Linked DNA regions of Arabidopsis thaliana. The protein of the gene in region 2 interacts with the protein of the main gene of each other region in a pairwise test. Each region holds a gene or a part of one and is shown on either strand. Other genes may lie near its edges.

Evidence for each region. Proteins that work in one complex are often made in the same cells at the same time.
Region 1: the proteins of HAT3 (region 2) and PHV interact in binary tests that used the Arabidopsis thaliana proteins (3 or more experiments, as listed by UniProt).

What each region holds. Positions count from the first base shown.
Region 1 is NC_003070.9:10,795,622-10,803,114, forward strand, and holds PHV (Homeobox-leucine zipper family protein / lipid-binding START domain-containing protein), read right to left. Parts: upstream 5,473-7,493; 5' UTR 5,124-5,472; coding exon 4,903-5,123; intron 4,392-4,902; coding exon 4,232-4,391; intron 4,102-4,231; coding exon 3,986-4,101; intron 3,905-3,985; coding exon 3,814-3,904; intron 3,719-3,813; coding exon 3,623-3,718; intron 3,537-3,622; coding exon 3,423-3,536; intron 3,347-3,422; coding exon 3,263-3,346; intron 3,185-3,262; coding exon 3,029-3,184; intron 2,943-3,028; coding exon 2,868-2,942; intron 2,794-2,867; coding exon 2,687-2,793; intron 2,615-2,686; coding exon 2,425-2,614; intron 2,333-2,424; coding exon 2,144-2,332; intron 2,061-2,143; coding exon 1,980-2,060; intron 1,894-1,979; coding exon 1,753-1,893; intron 1,665-1,752; coding exon 1,375-1,664; intron 1,277-1,374; coding exon 1,159-1,276; intron 1,076-1,158; coding exon 926-1,075; intron 854-925; coding exon 707-853; 3' UTR 503-706; downstream 1-502. UniProt on the Arabidopsis thaliana protein: Probable transcription factor involved in the determination of adaxial-abaxial polarity in ovule primordium. Specifies adaxial leaf fates. Binds to the DNA sequence 5'-GTAAT[GC]ATTAC-3'.
Region 2 is NC_003074.8:22,320,039-22,324,233, forward strand, and holds HAT3 (homeobox-leucine zipper protein 3), read right to left. Parts: upstream 2,624-4,195; 5' UTR 2,333-2,623; coding exon 2,134-2,332; intron 1,976-2,133; coding exon 1,617-1,975; intron 1,533-1,616; coding exon 1,453-1,532; intron 1,060-1,452; coding exon 750-1,059; 3' UTR 542-749; downstream 1-541. UniProt on the Arabidopsis thaliana protein: Probable transcription factor.

The sequences.
Region 1 (7,493 bases), on a different chromosome or scaffold from region 2:
ATAAGAGTTTTGTAGGTTTCTGTCCAAAAGAAAAGCTATTTATCAACTTCCATTACTAACTAGACTACCCAAAAGAAAAGTTTATAGGTTCCTCCAGCCTAGAAGTCAAAGAACAGCATCATCATGACTAGTTTTCTTGTGATAGATACTATTTCAATTTAATAGATAAATACTAGTAATGATTATTGATCATTTAATGTCAAAGATTCATTCAAATCTAATCTTTTGGATGATTATTATTTATGCATACAACCTAAACTCCGCATACATTTTTCATGTTACATATGAGCTACCAAGTCCATTAAACGTTTTTTGCCAAAAACTATGATGATTAATTTAGTTTATTCGACATGCTTTTGAGGCCAATCTTTGTGTTTATATTTGTACATTAACACATGATAAAAACTTATAAGATTACTAATAATAATTCATCTTATATCTATCTATATATATATATATATATATATATATATATATATATATATATCAAATTTCGTAAAAGGAAGATGAAGAAAAACGAAACAAGTCCAAAACATAAATAAAAATAAATATCTTGCCATACATAATGTCATAATTGATTAAAGAGATTATCATCAGAATTTTTCCATATTACATATAGAGTTATGGACTCTCTAATTCAACAAACCTTAGCCAAAAACAACATCCCCTAACTTTTAATATCTAACATAACCAACCTTTTCCTTCATCAAACAAACGACCAACTAACGAGGGTAAAAGCCAAGCAGTGGTTTGATTCGTTGTCATCAACAACTTTCCACACCGTCGCTTGCTCATACGAAACCGGTCTGCCCATGCTCGACACACATATTCCTGCCGGAAGATTCGCATATCCCTGAAGAAGATTCAATCCAAACTTAGTATTTTCCAGGGAAAGACTTAAAAGACTAGCTAGAAAATGTTTAACCTGCTGCATGATCTTGGCGAACTCGGAGCAAAGAGCTCTACGACCAGAGTCATCAAGTGTTTTGTCGAGCATTATATCCTGAAGTGCCACAAGTGTAGTTTCAAGCATGTCTAAACCAGCTTGGTTTGCAAATGTGAATACCGGTGAGGCCTGAGAACCAAAAAATAATCAGACAATTCCCAAACCGAACCATAAACTAGATTGAGCACCTCTTAAAAAAACAGAATTCTTACATTAGTTTTCAGGGAGCAGCACAATATGGCATCACTATGGTCCCAGAGTTGCTTAAGCAATGTGTCTCCTCCACAGGACTGAGAATCAGCTCCAAACAGATCTGCACCTGTATGAATACTAAAACATCGGAGAAAAACATTTTATTGAGTTATTAAATGAGATAAGCACATTCTATATTGTTACAAGTCTTTAGATTAAGGTTCTAAGAAGAGTACCTGTAACTACGGGTGATCCAACGGACAAGAGTGAGAGCTTCAGGGGAAGTGGGAAGTTGCATTGAGCCAGGACGAGGCGTAATGGCTAGAGCCACTCTCTGAATCGAACCAACAACGTTCCTCACATACTGTCTCGCCATTGTAGCAACATTGTCTCTGGAATGGTTATCAAACGTGAACTGGAAGGCTATTGTTAAGACCAATCTAGAGTTTGTTTCCGAATCGGTTTTGGTGGAACCATCTAGGGACGATGCTAGATCCCGTGTTCGACTTGCAGATTGATGATCATTCTGTAACGTTACATACAGGAATAAAAGAAAAAGGACTGTGTCAATTTCAAGATATCAAATTTCTTATCATAAACAGTTTTCTTTTTACCGGATTTGTTTTTTGGTCGAGTGGTATGACACGGAAACCAGAAGGAAGCAAAGGTGCATCATCAGCAAATGATTCATCGATTGGGGCAAAGACAAGCTGAGCACAACCTCCAACCACATTTTCATCAACGCCGCTACAAAGCTGGACAAAAGCAAAAAAGAAACCAAGAATTCAATTTCAATAACTCATCTTTAAGAATCCCTGAGTGTCTTTAGTATAAAGCAAACCTGCAGTAAATACATATCCCGGGATAAGCCCATGTCTTCAGGTGAGTAAGCATGACCTCCAAGTCTAACCACTTCGAGAAACTGAGAAACAAGTAAGCAAAATAGGATTATAGGCATGGCAAAAGAATAGACAACAAGGAAAATGTTCTTGAGATTCTTTGTACCTCTTCATGTTCGAGTGTCTGTGCGAGAGGAAGAATGACTTGGTTACTCGGGAACCCACCGGTTCTGACGCATGGAACAGCATATGGAGTTGCTCTGAGAGATGCAGCAGAATAGGCATCGACACCATAGTCTGCCCATTCAGCTCGGTGTTCTCTCAGGAACCGAATCAATACAAGGGGTGGAACATTCTTCAAGAGCAGATAAAAAAGAGAATGATGTCAGAAATTGAAGAAACCGGTTCTTTTGTCTATTCACAAGTGTCAAAACATGATATAGGCACCTGCAACAGCATAGAAGCTTTGGCACAGAGGACACCACTTCCAAAACTTGGAAGAAATGAGCTACCGTATTGGGAGCCAGCAAATTTAGCAGAGGAAGAGTTAATCATGATCGTAATATCCTCTCCTCCATCACTACTCATTGGAGACCATCCATCATCGACAAAACCATTTACAGCATCATTGAAACCCCTGAATTTCAAGAAAAGCAATTAGAACAATGCTTTAGAAAATAAAACTAAGCTTATCAAGGAAATGTATTACCGGCAGAGTCTCTGGCTGAAAGTCCTTAAAACTGCAGGCTGGCGTCCACCACTATACTGGACTTCTCCACTAGTCTCTTGAGCAATTTGGCGCACATGTCTCAGAGCCTGAAATGTGGAAGTAAAACTCATAAAGAGAGCCTAATCAGGTCACGGGTGGATAAGGTTTATATGGAACTTACAGCGACAGTCATTTTTTGAGCAAGGATTTTGGAAGACTCATAAAGAGGCCTGAGGACTTCAGGAACACTTGAGACCTACCAAACCAAAAAAACGTATCAATCAACATAAATAGAAGGCTTTTACGAAACCTAATGTGCTATTACAAATCCAATATGCTTACATCCAAGTCCACATGATCAACGATGTGAATAATGGAACCACCACCATCACAAGGACGGATAAGAAACCCGCTTGACAGCATTTTGGCTCTCACGAAGCTTGAAGAAAGTGGACCATTGGGGCCACCAGTTGCAGAAGTGAGTGATCTCTCACAGACCTGAAGGCAAAAAAGCAAATATAAGGCAAATCTAATAAATAGAATCATAGATGAACAAAACCAGGTCCTAATACCCACCACATAGCTTCCATCTTCTAGACTTGTACTATATCTCAGCGTCCAAAAGTCACGAGCTGCTGCTAATGTTGTAGGAGCATAAATCTGATAACCAACCATGAATAATGATCATTACATTTTAAAGGAACAAAAACAACACTCATGGATTTATGAAACAGACCTGAGTGTTGACAAGCTCGATAGTACCACCATTTCCAGTGGGTATAACATTCAGAGTCTCGACACATCGACAGTCACGGAACCAAGATGGACGATCTTTGAGGATTTCAGCGACCTACACAGTATTTGAAGTTTAGATTGCCTTCGTAGAATTTCCGCTTCTTACAACACAAGATTAAAATAAAAAGAAAACACCATTACCTTCATGGGTTCTAAACTCACGAGGCCACAGGCACGTGCTGCTATTCCACTGCAGTTGCGTGAAACAGCTACGATACCAATAGAATCCGGACCAGGCTACATACATAACCATGAAAATACATATTAAAACATTTTCTAAAAACCACTTCATTTCCACATATGAAAACGTTAAAATACTTCAACTTATCTACCTTCATCCCAATCATCTGGACCCAGTCGACAGCAGTTCCTGTAGCCTTGCAAAGGAACTCCGCCAAGGTCTCCTCCGCAATCGAGAGAAGACTACCAAAAAAACACTCCATTTAGTCTCTTCTCATAATGTCACAATGAGAAATTCACAAACAAAAAAAGAGCCTTCCTTACTTAGCTGGGTTGTTAACATCACGCTGAGGATGCTGATGTGTTGGGTTTTGCTGCTGACGTTGCTGACCACTCACGACCACAGACTCACAGCTGTTGTCTGTGGTCGTCCCAGAAGCCTAAGACACAACACAGAGATTTCACCAGTCACTCTCTAACAACAGAGAACTCTTAAAGAACAAATACATATACAAGCATCAAAGATAACAACTCAACAATGCATTTAGCAAAAGGGATTCAAGGACTTACAGTGTGGATTCGATGTTTCATGAATCCATTCTCATAAACCAAGTTGGAGACTTGCTTCTGCAAACGATCATTCTCTTCCATCAAAAGCTTGTTCATAGCACTCAGCTTCCTGTTCACTGTCTGAAGACGAGCTGACTCTTTCCTCTGCTTCTCTCGACATCTAAAAAGTCAACAAAACAACCAAAAGAAACCAGAAAAGTTAAAGACAAACCTATAGCAGTATGATAAATGTGTTGAAATAATAGAAAAATGAACAGAAGAAACACACACTTTTTTGCTTTAGAATGATACCAGAATGACATAAAGAACAAAAGATAATGTAATTTCCAACATATTCTCTGCAGAAGGAAAAAAAGAGAGAGGCGTTTTAAAGCTCATCAAAGACAGTTTGATTAGCTGTCACTTTTCCTTGTGATTTTAACTTTCAACTGTGTCAACAAAAGCCTAATAAGCAAAAAGAGAAAAACAAATTTATAGACATAGATCTGAAAGTTTCAAAAGCTTAACAATCACCAATTAGACCAAAAACAAGAAGATTACCAAAAACATTGTCAGACAAGAACATTTTTGTCTCCAAATACAAACAAAAGAAATTCAATTTTATAATTACAGAAACAATCAAAGAACACAAAAAACATTCCATTAAAGACAATTAATAAAGAAATAATAACCTGCGATTCTGGAACCAAACTTTGATCTGTCGAGGCTCGATGTTACAGAGAATGGGACATTCACGAATAAGCTGTTGTCTTCTCAGAGAGCTAGGTTTAGGACACTCAGCATAAACTCTCTCAAGAGCTTCAACTTGTTCCGGCGTGTATCTAACGTACTTGCCGGAATCAAATCCTTTATCAGGAGAGTCTCTATCGTCCATGGAGTGATGAGCCATCATATCTTCCAAACAGGTCAGTAGAAATCAGAGAGAGAGAGAGGGTTTACAAAAAGAAGAATAAAGATCGATACTTTGAGAGAAGTAAAAGAGACTCAGATGAAGAAATATTAGATGGGTAGGCTCTCTGAGAAGAGAGAGCCTCCTGTGAGAGTGTTCATGAGATGGTAATGGTTGGAGAAAAGAGTTTTTTGGGTTTTTTTCATTTGCTCTCTCTCTCAAAGGAGATTGAAAGATGGAAAGAGGTAAAAGGAGCAAAAGCGAGGCAGCTAAGTAGAGAGAAGAGAGAGAAGAGAGAGAAGAGAGAGGAAAATACTGAAAAAGTAAAAGTAAAGATCTTTCTGAGAGAGAAAGGACAAGGAACAACCCAACAAGATGCACTAAACTGGTAAATATTGTTTTCAAAAAAAATTAAAGGTGAAATTTTTGGGAGAGTAGGTTGAATTCAATGTTTTTGGTTAAAAGCTTTTTACTGTTAAGGCAAAGTAAAAATATTTAAACTTTTTCTTATACAAAGCTAAGCTTGAATTTTAATTCAAAGCTTAAATTCTAAAAGTTAAAATGATTAACTAGGATAAAAGTTTATGTCTTTGATAACTCATTATCAAAGCGGTAGAGTTTGTACAACTTTGACAGTTATCATTTATAAAATCTTTATCAAAAACGTTATAAAAAGTTTTATTCTCAATTTTATTATACAACTTTCTCGTACAACTCTTTTTTATAGTTTGCAACTATTCCGAAAAATTTTACAATTCATCTAAATTACCAGTTGGACCCATATATATTCTTTGGTTGCCACCATATAAATATTATTAGTTAAATAGATAATTATAATATTGATTGAATTAGATTAACAATTCATTTTAAAAGTTTCGTAATATTTGATGCATAGTTATAAGTAAATAATTACTTGTTTTATTATTTTTTCTTACAACTCTTTTAAATAGGTTTAATATGAGATGGAATCTTGATTACACTTCTCTAATTCATATCATTACCACCTAATTTTCTTTGTGTAAACATGTTTCTGTATTCAATATTCTTGGATTAGATTAAAAGGACAAGTAGATGTTGACAATTAAAAAGGATTGAAAGTGATTAGTTTTGAAAAACTTAAATGCATTCAGATTTCAGACTAAGGCTAAACACAAACAGATGAGAAAACCAACACGCAAAGTTGTTGTCTCTGCAAATTTTAAGACATATCAATTATTATCAGAATCCCTAGTCCTAATGGCAATCGATAAGAATAAATATGTTTATCTATTGGTAACAAAAATAAATCATGCTACAACTATTTATATTCGTAAAACGTAAGTGTTGTTGTCAGAAGAAACGGAATTTTGACAAAATGGGGTAATTTGCTAACTTAGGGAAAGAAAGCACTTCTCTTTAAGCTCTGTGACAGTGGCCTACCCAAACATAGCATCAAATTTTCCCTACCCTCTTTGCTCTCTAGTCCTAAGACGTTGTATGTATGTATGTATGTGCATGTACATATTTTCATGATGATGGTGTTGTTGTATGCCTATCTTTTGTATCCATGTGGAAGAGACGATGCATGACAAGTATGTACAATGTCACTATGCGCGTGAGATGCGTGAAATCTGTTGTTTTTTTTGGTTAACCTTAATTGGTTTTATTTCCTTTAACTTGTTTTGAAAGTTTTGAATATAAATTAGGGAATTTAATGAAAAAAACCCTTAACTTTGGCCAGATCCATTTTAAACCCTAAACTATGTTTTTAGTAAAACAAACCCTGAACTAAAACCTGTTAATAAACTTAACTCCACAGTAATTAATTATTAATGGGATATTAATTTCTAAAAAAAAAAACAACGAGACATTTGTATTTAGCGCAAAAACCACATGATGTTCTTTAAAACTATTTTGAATTTATTACAAAAAAACGTTCTAAATGATTTTGAATTGCTTAATTAGTTTGGATTTTAGAAGCTGAAAGAAAGACACAACAACTTAAAATAATCCAAAGAGTCATACTTAAATAAATCCAACCAACATAACTATCGAAGCTGTTGCAACACAACAATATTTGTCACAAAAAAAACAATCGTTTCAGAGGGACAAGATATTCTAAAGTAAAGACTTGTCAAGCATTAACTTTGAAGAGAAGATTGTATTGGCTGAGTGATAGGGTTCTCTTCATCCATTGTTTTCTGTTTTTTCCTTGGTCGTCTTTGAGGTTTCTTGGGTGGTTTTGGCACTGCTTTACGCTTGCATGAACGTTTGTTGTGTCCGACTTGTTGATAGTTGCTACAAGTCTAAATATGCAAAGATTAAATTAAATAATTTGAAAAGGAAGATCTTGTGAAACATAATTCATTGTTTTCTATTTTACCATTTGAACTT
Region 2 (4,195 bases):
TTTGCCTCTGCCAAAAATTGAAACACCGAGAGATATCTTGGTCGTACCTCTCATTTTCTCTTTCTCTGTCGGTTGAGATCTTTTGACATAAGGGAAGAAAAAAATATCGTATCTTCAGTGTTCTGCAAGAGATTCTAATGGTCTGACTTCGTCTATGTGGACCCAAATATCTCCATATACATACCAAATGCTATGTTATGTCACGTACATGTCTCGATATTCGTATTGGCTAACATTTACTTATTACATATGCAAACAACACACGCTTGCTCCATCAATCATAACACCTTTCATTGCTTCTTTTTACTTTATACTTCTAACTAATCTTCTACTGTAATTAATAATCATCTTTACAAATCCCTTTCTTAAGTTCCAAGCAAAAGAAAGAAAACCCCAATTAAACAATTACAACTTTAATAAATGACGCTCTTGAAAATTAGTTTATGCACCATTCGTTATTATGATTCGATGGCCTTAAAATAGAACTCTGGATTTGGTGAAAAACAGATATGATGTAATCAAAATATATAACAATAAAGAATGATAGAACCTCTTATCTTTCCCCAAACTAATAATTGGACAATAATATTAGTAGATTTTCCATTATCCAGAATTCAGCTATAAATAGAAACTGAATAAAACAAAGGAAAGAAGAGCATGGGACCAACTCTTGAAAAGAACTTCCAAGTCCGTTCAACAATATAATAAAAACAAATCACCAAACCTATTATCTTTAGACTAATTAAACTCTAATGAGAACCAGCAGCAGGTCGTTGCCGTAGAGGCATGGCAGCCCACGGACTCATCGGACCCATCGGAGACGATGAATTCATCACAGGAGGAGCCACCGATGACGAAGATGACGTAACAGCGACTCGCTCGCAAGAAGGACACATTGTGAGAGTAGTGGGAGGTTTCATGTGCATGTATAAGTGTGGAGAAAGCTTTAAAGCCCTAAGCTCACTCACTTCCTTTTGCAATCTCCGATTCTCATCCGTTAGATTCTCGCAACATCTCTTAAGATATTCACAGTCTACTTCCGTTTGCTTCAGCTTCGTCCTATAAACACACACACAAACAGTCCAAAACATTAAAATCCGATATCCGGTTTAACTATCCGGGAAAGAGAAAACCCGAAGTACATTTGTTTCTTGTATTCGAAACTGGCGGTTATTGTTCTTGAACCGGAAAACTGAAAACACTTTAACCAAAATTTGACTCAAAAACAACATTGGCGGTTTTAATTCTTAAACCGGGAAAACTGAATAGCTTAAACCAAACCTCCTAATTTAAGACATGAGAGACCCATTAAAATCCTTTAGGATAATCTTATGGGTCATAAAATGGACCATTACACATATCACCATCATAGCAATAACTACTAATGTTTTATTTGTTGGACTATATAAAATTTACGAAAGTAACCCCTTAAAATAGAATAAAAATTTCTACCTTGCCCTTCGGTTTTGGAACCACACTTCAACTTGTCTCGTCCTCAGATTCAATTGCTTAGCCAAAGCCATCTTTTGCTTCTGCATCCAACAACAACAAAAAAAGTCAATGAAAAACATATAAAAAGTCAACCTATTGAAGAAAACTACGGAAATGCCACTGACCGGATTGAGTGTACTATGTTCTTTAAAAGTTTCTTCAAGAACCAAAGCTTGTTCTTTAGACAATCGGAGTTTCTTCCTCGAACTGTCATCTCCGTTCCCGCTACCGTCTTCATCGTCGCTACCACCGCCGAGCGAGCAAGAAGCTCTCTCAATCTCATTATCTTCTACTCTACCTCCTCCAACTGCACCTGCCGCAGCCATTAGCTCTCGCTCGCTCTTCTTCCCGCTCATCACGCTTGAGACGGTGCTGTTCGGAGACGAAACTCCGGCGCCTTCATCCTCCACGTCAACCACCACCGTCGATGGAGCTCTGTTCACGTCTATTCCCCGGAGAAACGATCTCATGTCCGAGTTTCTCTCTGCACGTTACGTTAATCACGCCAAATGATTAAAAATCACAAACATATCAAGAAAATTTTATCTATTATAGGATAAAGTGTAATAAAAAGATCGGATCTAAAACAAAGAAACCTATAATCTTAGACATGAATCTGGATTAGTAAAAGGAGGTAAATACCTGATGACTGAAACATGTTAATCCAAGTGTTCTGAATCTTTTGAGGATGGTTATAATTGCTCTGCTGCATATGCTGCATGTGTGATGAAGATGCATAAGAAGCCAGAGGCATTGGATTTAACCTCGAAGACGGGTCCTTTTGATTAAAACCTAAACTCAAGCTCAAACTTAGCCCCAATCCATCATCTCTTTCACTCATTTTTCTCAACCCCAGAAAGAAGAAAGAAGAATTCTGTCTGGGTGCTCAAGATTTTTAAGCGAGGAAATGAATAAATGACTCTTTCTCTCTCTCTTTCTTAAAGATGTTGTGCCACTGCCTCTACACTTGTGCAGCAGTACAGTTTCAAAAGATATGGCTTATATTTATTTATATATGCAAAAGAGTTTTTTCAGACAAAGAGATATGGGGTTGTGGGGAGGCTTAGGGTTTCAATGATGACTTGTGTCAGAGAGACCTCTGTTACCTCAATGATGATATATACTGCATAAAAACCTGCTTCCTTCTCTCTTTATTTTAACTTAACCATGGTTAAAATTAAAACCAGGAGTTATTACTTTCACCTCACATCCCTTTTCAACCATGGTTAATTGATTTATTATAAGAAAAAAAAAAGTCCAAGTCTCTTGTTCTTTCTCTATCATTTTCCGTTTGGTATATTGTAAGTTGTCACTATTCTTAATTACAAAATAACCTATGAGCGTTTTTCAAATATTATATTAGATTCTTATACATATGATAAACTCATTCACCCAAATCCATTCATGTGAGGTTTTACTAAATATAGATAAAAGCTGAGTTTCTACTTTAAAAGATACTAAAGATTAGTAGTTGACAATATAATTGAGTAGAGATTTTGTGTACCCGAGTTTCAAAGTAAAGAAAATGTAAAAGAAGCTCTTTTTCAAAAACACACAAACAAGCATAATTGGCTTTTTGTAATGTGGCTTTCATTACGAAAGCGGCTTTCTCGCTCGTTGACCGTTGACTGATTGAGAGGATTAAAAAAGCAGCGACCAGACGGTAAAATCCACGCGCTCGTGAGGGTGATCAAATAATGATATCATATCATAATAATTAATAAATCATCATCATCATCAGTATCATTATGAACATCATCATCATATCATGCCTTATTGTTATCATCATAACTTTACTTCTCCCTCTGACCATTGGGGTCCTACGTATCTCAAAAATAATGCAGCTTCGCTTTAATATTAGTACTCTTAAAGCATAATTTGTAGTACTGTATATCAAACCATATAATTGTACTTCCCATTTTAACATGGAATTATATCCTTAAAACAAATCTCACCCACTCTCCAAATTCACCATCACTTGTTAACTTGTTGGTTAGAAAAGGTTCTTTAAGTTAGCTTTATGGTGAATATGTTTCATCATTGGCATTCGATTATGACAACTATTTTTTTTTTTTTGAGAAAAGATCAGCTAAATTATGTTTTTCTTAGTAGTTTTAAACCATTCTATAACCTTTATTGGGTAAAATTATATAACCTAGTTACAAACCAAACTTTCTTAAAGAATGAAATGAATTATTATTCTTCAATGGGTTATTGTTAAAATGTGATTATGAGGATGTTGGAATAATAGGTAAGCGTGAAAGAATAGATACGCGCGAATGGGCGAGTGTGAGGTGGGGGGAGAATAAGGCGGTGGGCTCAAAATGGGTATGGAATCAGGAGGGGGCAGAGATACGGTGTCGTATAGATAGGTTACAGAGAACCTAAAAGCCCTAAACACTGCATGGATTTTGAGTTGTCTGCGAATCCAACATGCATTCCCATTCCATGCCTCCCTCCTTCATTTATTGTTCCTTTTTCCCAATGTGATACCAAAAGATAATTAACTTTCTCATTAATTTCATCTGTCAGTCAAACATAAATAAAAACGCACGACAAGTGGTGTTGGCTGATTTTTATGACTAATAAGAGAGTAATTAAATTACTATTTAATTAATGATGACTCCATATATGTTATTGATATTGCCATCATTACTTCTGCCTTCAGTCTCTTCAAAACTTTCAGCAGTTACACAGACAAGAC